3 linked regions of the Nothobranchius furzeri genome follow. The protein of the gene in region 3 interacts with the protein of the main gene of each other region in a pairwise test. Links are inferred from orthologs where the notes say so. Each region holds a gene or a part of one and is shown on either strand. Other genes may lie near its edges. The genes, in order: dnaaf4, ca8 and spdl1.

Evidence for each region.
Region 1: the proteins of spdl1 (region 3) and dnaaf4 interact in binary tests that used the Homo sapiens proteins (3 or more experiments, as listed by UniProt). The two-hybrid records come from large-scale screens. The link is inferred for Nothobranchius furzeri from reciprocal best matches to the Homo sapiens genes SPDL1 and DNAAF4.
Region 2: the proteins of spdl1 (region 3) and ca8 interact in binary tests that used the Homo sapiens proteins (3 or more experiments, as listed by UniProt). The two-hybrid records come from large-scale screens. The link is inferred for Nothobranchius furzeri from reciprocal best matches to the Homo sapiens genes SPDL1 and CA8.

Annotation. Positions count from the first base shown.
Region 1 is NC_091744.1:80,737,540-80,741,296, reverse strand, and holds the start of dnaaf4 (dynein axonemal assembly factor 4), read left to right. Parts: upstream 1-1,126; 5' UTR 1,127-1,457; coding exon 1,458-1,580; intron 1,581-3,757.
Region 2 is NC_091751.1:59,051,486-59,055,142, forward strand, and holds part of ca8 (carbonic anhydrase-related protein), read left to right. Parts: intron 1-1,735; coding exon 1,736-1,870; 3' UTR 1,871-1,902; exon of another isoform or gene 1,903-1,927; intron 1,928-3,657. UniProt on the Homo sapiens protein: Does not have a carbonic anhydrase catalytic activity.
Region 3 is NC_091741.1:109,686,608-109,689,199, forward strand, and holds part of spdl1 (protein Spindly), read left to right. Parts: intron 1-301; coding exon 302-400; intron 401-467; coding exon 468-578; intron 579-644; coding exon 645-785; intron 786-1,335; coding exon 1,336-1,442; intron 1,443-1,719; coding exon 1,720-1,840; intron 1,841-2,030; coding exon 2,031-2,097; intron 2,098-2,166; coding exon 2,167-2,331; intron 2,332-2,406; coding exon 2,407-2,476; intron 2,477-2,592. UniProt on the Homo sapiens protein: Required for the localization of dynein and dynactin to the mitotic kintochore.

The sequences.
Region 1 (3,757 bases), on a different chromosome or scaffold from region 3:
TTTATTTCCTTGTTAAACAATAATAAATCCGTTTCTCACATGAACAGAAACAAATCTGATGTCCAGAGAAATGAACGCAGCTCTGACACTTTGTTGCTCTCATGAAACTTAAGTTTTCCTATCAGAGGGTTTATGGGGTCAAATCATGTAGAAAGTACATAAATCACACACACACACACACACACACACACACACACACACACACACACACACACACACACACACACACACACACACACACACACACACACACACACACACGCCTAAGACAACAGGAGAAGCACCATAAAAGGTTTAATAATATTTTATTGTGAGTGAATGAAGCCAAACAGCTTCAAATGAAACCATCTGTTGGGTTCCTGATTGATTATTTCTGTCTGAAGGCATAAAAACAGATTTACAGGCTCTGACACTGAAACCATCTGAGGTTGGCAGATCATCCACCGCCACGTTCCTGACTCCATAACTAACTTCTGCACATGCATGTTTTTATTCTAACTGTGTAATCCTGCAGAGGACTACATGTTCGGTGTTAGAAACAGGAGTTATCTGTTTTATCTACCAGGATGATGCATTTATAAGGTCAAAGGTCAGAATCTGGAGCTTCAGGTGTTTACAGGAAAGAGTTCATAAAGAGACTTTTATCTCTGCACACTGATAAGACAAACTCCAGATTAGAGATGGCACCGTTACAAAGACATGTCCCTACTTTACTGTCAGTCAGCATTCTTTTGCAACAAGATGCAATTAAAGCCAAATGTTTAACCAAAGAATCATGGTCAATTGGCCCACAGGGCCAGAACATCAAAGAACATCTATTCAGTTTAACAGGCTGATGAAATCCTGGCCTTCTCTATGGGCTTTGATTCATGTGTTAATCGTTTTTATTATTATTGTTATTATTATTATTATTATTATTATTAGACTCTGTAACTAAGAACTAATGAAAATGTAGAGATTGCATAATTCTAATGAACAACACACAAAGAAGCTATAAAGATAAGGTGTGTGAGATCATTAACATTTTCTCCTCAGCAATAAAAGCATCAAATGTTGATTATAAATATTAAAATAATGATAGTAAAAAGTTATAAATGACATTTTAAAAATACAAACCAACACAACAGTGTGCTCCATGTGACGTTGTAGATGTCATGTTTATGTTCTGGTTAGCTAGTAACCAAGGCAACACCTTTACCTGCTGGCCTGCTGTGCTTGAGCAGGTTATTTAATCCGTAAATACGTCTGTGTGAGAAATGTGTAAAGAGAATAGATCCGCACGTGACTGAAATCTAAAATCTCCGACAACCCTGAAGGCAGCACGCGGTCTCTCGTCCCCATAGTAACAGAATGCCGCTGGGACTGAAACGGAAGTTGTTGTTCGGAAGTTTCTAACCTGAAAACAACCTAGTTTTTCACGATTATTATCAGTGCGCGCGCACACAGATGAGTCCAACATGCCGCTGCACGTGACGGACTACACGTGGAGCCAGACGGACTCCGCGGTCAACGTCAGCGTACCGTTAAAAGGAGCGGCGCCCGGGAGAGTGGACGTCATGTCAACGGACCAGTACCTCAAGGTTTCTAATGCGCATGCTCAGCAATATTAGTTTAGGTCATATTAGACCGTCTAGGGTGGTCTATTGGACCAGGTCCATGAGAAATCAAGTCAAACTTTATTTATATAGAACAATTCATACAACAAATGCAACTCACAGTGCTTTACAAATTAAAGTGACCCCACATTATCTCCCTCCCCATAAATATAAAAGCAACTAGAAAAATTGCATTTATTGCACAAATGCTGTTTGAATGCTGGATAGCTGAAACTGTAAGCTGAAGCTGCTGAACAGCTGAACTGAAGCTGGAATTAAGCAAAACTGTCAAAATGAGCTGAATGTCTTGAAAGATGTAGAAGCAAAAGCACCAACAAGCAAATAAAGCACAAAAAGTATGTGCTAAAAAAATATAAAATAAAACAAAATTATCGGGCTGAAATAACAGACTCATTATGAGAGGCTCAATGATATGCATTAGATTGGTGTTTAGTACCCTTTTTCCCATCTGATATTTATAGTTAAAAATATTTTTCAATATTTGACCTACATTTCAGTAACATTTTAGGTTTGTATTAATAACCTCATCTTAGTCTAAATAACACAAATATATCTAGTAACATACAATACATTTCATTAACATGCATTTGTATTGGAAATGGTAATAACATTTAATTTCTGCTGGTAACAGTGTAACGGTTGCTTGTCTATTATGTACGGGTTGGCAATAATCCAGTTTAAATTATGTTCAAAGATAGAAGTGTTTGTGAATTAAACACTACAACGGCTTGCCGTACATCCTGCAAATGTGACTCTGCAGCGGTTCTGATCCATAGCGCTGCAGGATGCAGAATAAACAGGATGGTGGGGAATATTCATCCGTTTGTAGAGTTTAGTCTTAGTTTTTCGATCATCATATATTTTTCTGTGCACCTCTTGATCGTGAGACTGCTACCCGTTCGCTTTAGCATTAGCCAATGTAGCTGCACGTTTGATCCCAAACTTTGGGCTAGTTCTGCCTTTTCAATTCAATTCAAGTTTATTTATACAGCGCCAAATCACGACAAGAGTCGTCTCAACGCACTTCACATAATAAACATTCCAATACAGGTCAATTCATTAAGCCAATCAGAAAAAAGTTTCCTACATAAGGAACCCAGCAAATTGCATTGAGTCACTGACTTGTGTCAGGAGCAATCCTCATACTAAGCAAGCATGCAGCGATAGTGGAAAGGAAAACTCCCCTTCAACAGGAAGAAACCTCCAGAGGATTCCGGCCCAGTACAAGCAGCCATCCGCCAACTGCCACGATCCACTGGGGACCAAGAAGACAGAGCAGACACAGACCTTTGTGTCTTTGCTGGTTCCTTTATTTTCCTCCACTGCATCCAGATTTCCACGCTGTGCACCAGTAAAAAGCATTTTTTCTTACACGTTACTTACTTTTGTTCAATAAAGTTCTGGGGAAAATAGTAATTCAAAGATGTTGCACCAGTGCTACATTTAAAAATAGACAGACACACTCAGACAGTGTCACTGGAAACTTTAAGCAAAGCTGTTTCTGTTGAATACTTTTTACCAAAACCAGACTGGAATTTATCTAAACGGTTGTGTAATTCCAGAAAAGTAATCAGCTGATCTGCCACAACCTTTTCCATTATTTTAGAGATGAAGGGTCATTTAGAAATGGGTTTGTAATTTTTAGGCTGAGATGAGTCCAGACTTGGTTAAGGATAGGTTCAATAACTGCATATTTGAAAACAGATGGTACAGAGCAGGATTGTAGGGACAAATGAATAAAATCTACAATGCATGGACCAATATGGTCAAACAAGAATACATGAGGTTGGTTTCTGAATGAGGTAAATGTCCTGGAAATCTACAGGAGCAAAGACAGACCATGGGTGTTTCTCAATGCCAAGGGACCTTGCCTTGGTCTTGGCCCCGTCCCGGTTGCCTAGGAGATACGTCATCGGGAGCCAACAAGACGTGTTCCTGTGTTCATGTTCTACCGAGGCATGTGTTCTCCGTTTGTTAGCCGTTTAGCTAGCTGAGCAAGGATACACGGGAGTTGTCTTGTAGCCTAGCCTTGGTCAAAAATTACCCAGAATACACCGCAGTATTTTCAAAAGGATGACGGATCAGAAGCCGGCAGGTACTTCGGGGACAATTTTCAAGTTTAGAAGTAAGACAACTAATTT
Region 2 (3,657 bases), on a different chromosome or scaffold from region 3:
GGAGCACTATCTAGCACTCGTCCCAGGGACTCCAAAAAGGGTGGGTACTCTGAACTGATATTTGGCCCATAAGCACAAACAACAGTCAGGACCCGTTCCCCACCCCGAAGGCGCAAGGAAGCTACCCTCTTGTCCCCCGGGGTAAACCCCAACACACAGGCAGAGAGTCTCGGGGCTAACAAAAAGCCAACCCCAGCCCTCCGCCTCTCACCCGGAGCAACTCCAGCAAAGTAGAGTGTCCAACCCCTCTCCAGGTCTCGGGTTCCAGAGCCAATGCAATGTGTCGAGGTGAGTCCGACTATATCTAGCCGGTACCGCTCAACCTCTGCCACAAGCTCCGGCTCCTTCCCCGCCAGCGAGGTGACGTTCCATGTCCCAAAAACTAGTTTTCTTGTCCGGGGATTGTTCCGCCAAGGCTCCCGCCTTGGTCTGCCACCCGATTCGCATTGCACCGGACCCTTCATGTTCCTCCTGCGGGTGGTGGGTCCACAGTTGGACGAGCCCATGTATCCAGTTCGGGCTGGGTCCGGCCGGGCCCCATGGGCGAAAGCCCGGCCACCAGGCGCTCGCTCACGGGCCCCAACCCCAGGCCTGGCTCCAGGGTGGGACCCCGGTAACCCTCCGGGCCGGGTACTCCGACTCTTCGTTTTAACCGCCATGAAAGATCCTTCGAACCGTTCTTTGTCTCACCCTTCACCTAAGACCAATTTGTCATGGGATACCCTACCAGGGGCACTAAGTGCCCCAGACAACATAGCTCCTAGGATCATTAGGGCACTCAAACTCCTCCACCACGATAAGGTGACGGTTCAAGGAGGAGATAACTGGCTTCATAACTCAAAATACTGCTGTTAAATTATGACTCTTTGACTTTACAAATGGCACCCCATGCATGTGCATATCACTGTAAAGCGACAAAACGCCCGGGCGAAACATCGCGAATGAGACAGTCTCATCAGACATATGGATATCTGTTTCTTCTTCAGGGAATGTCAAGAATATCTACTAGGCTTTTCTTATTATAAACCTGTGAATATGTGCAGAGGGGTGAGTTTGATGATTATTTAGTTTTTGCAGGTGGTGGTTTTGTTGTCGTACTCCAGCCACTTTCACAACTGAATGAACGACATCAGGTTTTCTAAATCAGCAGGTCCTGCTTTTCTAGATTACACACTTCAAATATCCGCCTATTATTGACTTCCAGAAGAATGTGTGTGTGTGTGTGTGTGTGTGTGTGTGTGTGTGTGTGTGTGTGTGTGTGTGTGTGTGTGTGTGTGTGTGTGTGTGCAGTGTTTGCATGTTGCACAACAGTTGCTATGCTCACAGCCTTTGCACTTTGTGCAGTAGACCTCTTTCAGCCAGCGGCGCAACAGTGCAAGATCTGGTCTTTGTTTCAGCGGTTTGGGGCCCAAAGTGTGTTCAGTGAGGTGATAAAATCTGCAGTGGCTACGATTTACTGCAACAGGAAGTCGTACCTTGTTTTGTTCAAAATTCTGTTCTGACATGCACTAAAAATCACCTCAACAACTTGCAAAGGCTTGGATTCAGATTTGGAATGGGAAGTCAATGCTTTAAATTTGTAGGGAATTTGTTCAATGCTCAGACTGAAAAAGACAACAAGTCCACTCTTTAACTGATCAATTTATGCTCTGAAAATAAAAAATAAAAAAATCACACAAAGAGCAGAGATGAAATATTTCTGTTGTGGCTGAATTATTTTATCGTTTGTGTGCAGATTGAAGAGTTTCGGAGGCTGAGGTCCCACATCAAGGGGGCGGAGCTGCCTGAAGGCAACGATGGATTGCTGGGGGACAACTTCCGCCCCACCCAGCCGCTCAGTGAACGAATGGTTCGCGCTGCCTTCCAGTGACTTCTACATCCCTCTGCCATCACAAATAAACTGTGAGAACTGCAAACACAAAAATAGGTCCGTCCCCATTACTCAGCTCACTGCAACCCACTTTGCTGCAACAGTTCAGTGATAATGGATGTGGCTAAAACTGCTGACGGGGTGTTTGTTTTCTCAAAATAGGCTTTAATTATTTGAAAGTCAATTATTTAAGTAAAACAAATGCATACTTGATAGAAATCTGACTAGAATGTGTCGGCAAATGCTGTTCTCTGTGTTTTTGGTCCATTCAGCACACTTCATCACTGGGGACGGATTTCTAATGGAAGCAAAGCCCCAGAGGCTGTCAGGTCCTCTGATACTGAAGTATAACAGAGCAGGCCCTGGAAGAAGTAACCCAGTTCACTTACTAATCTGGGACCAGCCCTATATACATTACAGTGATCCCAGATTTAGCTCAGGAGCACTGCGGCAGGAAGACAAGGCAGAACAAAACCAGAGGAGATGAGGATTTTAACCATCCAACTTTTGTAACTGACAAAAAAAATCTGAATTTGTTTCCACAACTGCACTTGGTAAATGCTGAATGTAAAACATAGCAGCAAGATGGTGGTCTCAACAACTCTCACATGAGCTGAAAACAAAGATTATTCACCATCCTGGGTTAGGGGAAGGTGTCAGAGATTTCTGCTGGCTGTTTCCTCAGTTAGGAACATACTGAGGAAATGGAAGACCACAGGCTCAGTTCTAGTTAAGGCTCGAAGTGGCAGACCAAGAAACTTCTCAGATAAACAGAAGAGAAAATAGGTGAGAAGTCAGAGTCATCCCACAGATCAGCACCAAAGACCTATAACATTGTCTTGCTGCAGATGAAGTCACTGTGCATCATTCAACTATTCTGTGCGCTTTACACAAGGAGATGCTGTTTGTGAGAGCGATGCAGAGGAAGCCTTTTCTCTGCCCACTGCACAAACAGAGCTGCTCGAGGTTTGCTAAAGCACATTTGGACAAGCTAGCTTCATTCTGGAATAAGGTGCTATAGACTGATGAAACTAAAACTAAGTTATTTGGACAAAACAATGTTATGCGTTATGCATGGAGGAGAAAGAACACAGCATTCCAAGAAAAACACCTGCTACCTACAGTAAAACATGGTGGTGGTTCCATCATGCTGCGGGACTGTGTGCCCAGTGCAGGGACAGGAATCTTGTTAAAGTTGAGGGACACATGGATTCCACTCAATATCAGCTGATTCTGGAGACCAATGTCCAGGAATTAGTGACAAAGCTGAAGCTGCACCGAGGCTGGATCTTTCAACAAGAAAACAACCCTTAACACTTCTAACAATCTGCTAAGAAGAAGAAGAAGAAGCAAATATCATTTCTATAGCGCCTCTCAAGATAAAAATCACGAGGCGCTTCACAAAAACAAAAAAAGTAAAAATATAAAAAAGCATTTAGAAGTAAGGCATTCATGCAGAGGAACAAGTAGAATGTTCTGGAATGTTCATCTCAGTCCCCAGACCTGAATATTACTGAAAATCTGTGGTGTGAGTTAGAGCTGTCCATGCTCAGAAGCATCAAACCTGAATGAACTAGAGATGCTTTGTAAAGAAGAATGGTCCACAATACCTTCAGCCAGAATCCAGACTCTCATTGGAAGCTATAGGAAGTGTTTTAGAGGCTGTTATTTCTGCTAATATATTGTTATATATGTAACAAGCCCCAGGAGTTGGGCCTGTTGACAAGATTAAATGTTCATGTAAAACAGGAAAAAGATGAGACAGGGATGACAGGTGCTGTTAATCC
Region 3 (2,592 bases):
ACCAAGCTTAAGTGTGAGGCATCATCGTCTTAATCTGCTCCAGCAGTTAAATAAAATGTTTGAATCAAAGCACCTTGAATTGCTTTTGTGTTTGAAATGTGCTATACAAATAAAGCTGCCTTGTTTAAGATAACGTTAGCTTGTTATTTTAGCTAACGGTGTCGTACTGGATTACTGTGTAGTACTTGATTACTTTTACACAACATTCAGTGTATTGCTGCTAAGTAGAACCAATGTTGAGCTTCAGTGTTTTTTCCAGCCCGTGTCTCTGCACACTTATTCCAGTCTTGTGTTGCCACAGAAATCTCGAGAAGTGAACCGAGACCTCCAGATCCAGTTGGATCAGGTTCTTCAGCAGGCCCAGGATCCAAACAGTAAGGGGAACTCGCTGTTCGCTGAGGTAAGCACACACACTCAGCTGGGTTTGAAGTTGCCTCTGCTGCTCATTCTGTTGGATGTCGTTGCAGCTGGAGGACAAGAGAGCTGAGATGGAGAAACAGCTCATCAGCATGAAGGTTCAGTACCAGTCCCTGCAGAAGCACCATGCCTTCAGCAAGCAGCAGATGCAGCGCATGAAGGTACGATCACTACAGGGGGAAGCTGCTCTCACGTGAACCATGCAGCAACACATGTGTGCTGTGCAGATCCAGATAGCCACTCTGATGCAGCTGCTGGGTTCTAAAGCTGACTCGGACCAGGTGGAGAGACTGCAGGACATGTTGTCGGAGAAGAATGAAGAGATCCAGAATCTGAATGCTAAACTCCAGAGACTGGAGAGGTCAGAGGTGAGCTTGTCGGCTAAATGGCAAACTCACTATGCACACACACACGCACACACACAGCTAAAGATTAATTGTCTTTGTGTGTGTGTGTGTGTGTGTGTGTGTGTGTGTGTGTGTGTGTGTGTGTGTGTGTGTGTGTGTGTGTGTGTGTGTGTGTGTGTGTGTGTGTGTGTGTGTGTGTGTGTGTGTGTGTGTGTGTGTGTGTGTGTGTGTGTGTGTGTGTGTGTGTGTGTGTGTGTGTGTGTGTGTGTGTGTGTGTGTGTGTGTGTGTGTGTGTGTGTGTGTGTGTGTGTGTGTGTGTGTGTGTGTGTGTGTGTGTGTGTGTGTGTGTGTGTGTGTGTGTGTGTGTGTGTGTGTGTGTGTGTGTGTGTGTGTGTGTGTGTGTGTGTGTGTGTGTGTGTGTGTGTGTGTGTGTGTGTGTGTGTGTGTGTGTGTGTGTGTGTGTGTGTGTGTGTGTGTGTGTGTGTGTGTGTGTGTGTGTGTGTGTGTGTGTGTGTGTGTGTGTGTGTGTGTGTGTGTGTGTGTGTGTGTGTGTGTGTGTGTGTGTGTGTAGATCCTGTTAAAAGCCCACTCAGCCAGTCAGTCTCCAGCAGGGAACTCTGATGGTCCAGATGAGACCTACTACACCGACCTTCTCAGAATGAAGCTCAGCAACAGCGAGTGAGTTCAGCTGCTTCACTGTTTCCCTCCATTAGGTCTAAAAATGAGGAGGAAGACTAATCAGCAGCTGTATGGTTCTGGTTCACGGTGAGTCCCCAGGTCTAACTCTGACCCTGAGCACCGAGGGCCGTCCTAGCTTGGAGTTGCTAATGAAGATCCAGTTGCTAGGTGGACAATGGCTCAAGCAGAGAGCTGATTGGTTTAGTCAGGGTGGTCTTTGTTCAGGATGAGGTCACATACATGTTACAGCTCTGTGCCCTCTGGTGTGTGTTCTCAGGAAAGATGTCGAGCGTTTAGGAGACGAGCTTTCCCGGCAGAGGATGAAGTCTCTGTCTGAGAGTCAGAGAGCGCTGCAGCTGGAGAGGAAGCTGTTCAAGTCTGAGCAGCTGCTGAAGCAGGTAAAGCTGCTCTTCCTGTTCACCAGATCGGTGTGTCCACAGCCTCGTCATCCGCATAAACTCACGTTGGGTTGCTTGTTGAGTCGTCTCACCAGCAGGCCTCTGCAGTAATGCTGCTGGTGTGAGTCCTCCTGAGCTCGGCTGCAGACATGGACATATTTACTTCCTGGTTTTGGTCTTCTTCCTTTAGGCTCAGAGTGACAATTTAAAGCTGCAGCTGCGTGTGGAAGAGCTTCAATACAAATATGAACCCAAAGGTGACAGAAGGACCCAACCCCCTCATTATTCTGTTTGCCGTCTTGTCCATAACACTTTCCTGTCTGCAGAGGTGGAAAAGAACCCTGTCCAGAGGAAAAGGAGGGAGAAGCTTCCTGTGGACATCCCTGCCCCCCCTGAAGGCGTTGCTCGTGGTGAGCAGATGGCTGCTGTGGAAGTGACGGACTCAAAAACAGCTGACTTGGAGGCCGTTGAGACAAACCGCTGCTCAGAAGGTGTGAGACCTGCTGCTCGCTCCCTGCAGACGGGATTTCCTGATGGAAATCTGAATAATTTCTGTTCTGTTCTAGCTTCAGGGTCAGACCCGCGACCTGCCAAGTGTGTGAGGATCAGCGTTGAAGACTCGGATGTGACTGACAGGTCAGTAGCTGATCCTCCGAGCTCTCACCTGTTGAACAGTGACCTGTATTAAGTTCTTAGAGGAATTAAATTCAGTGGAGTGGTCACCACCGGGTCTCGTGGTAGCCTCTCCAGCA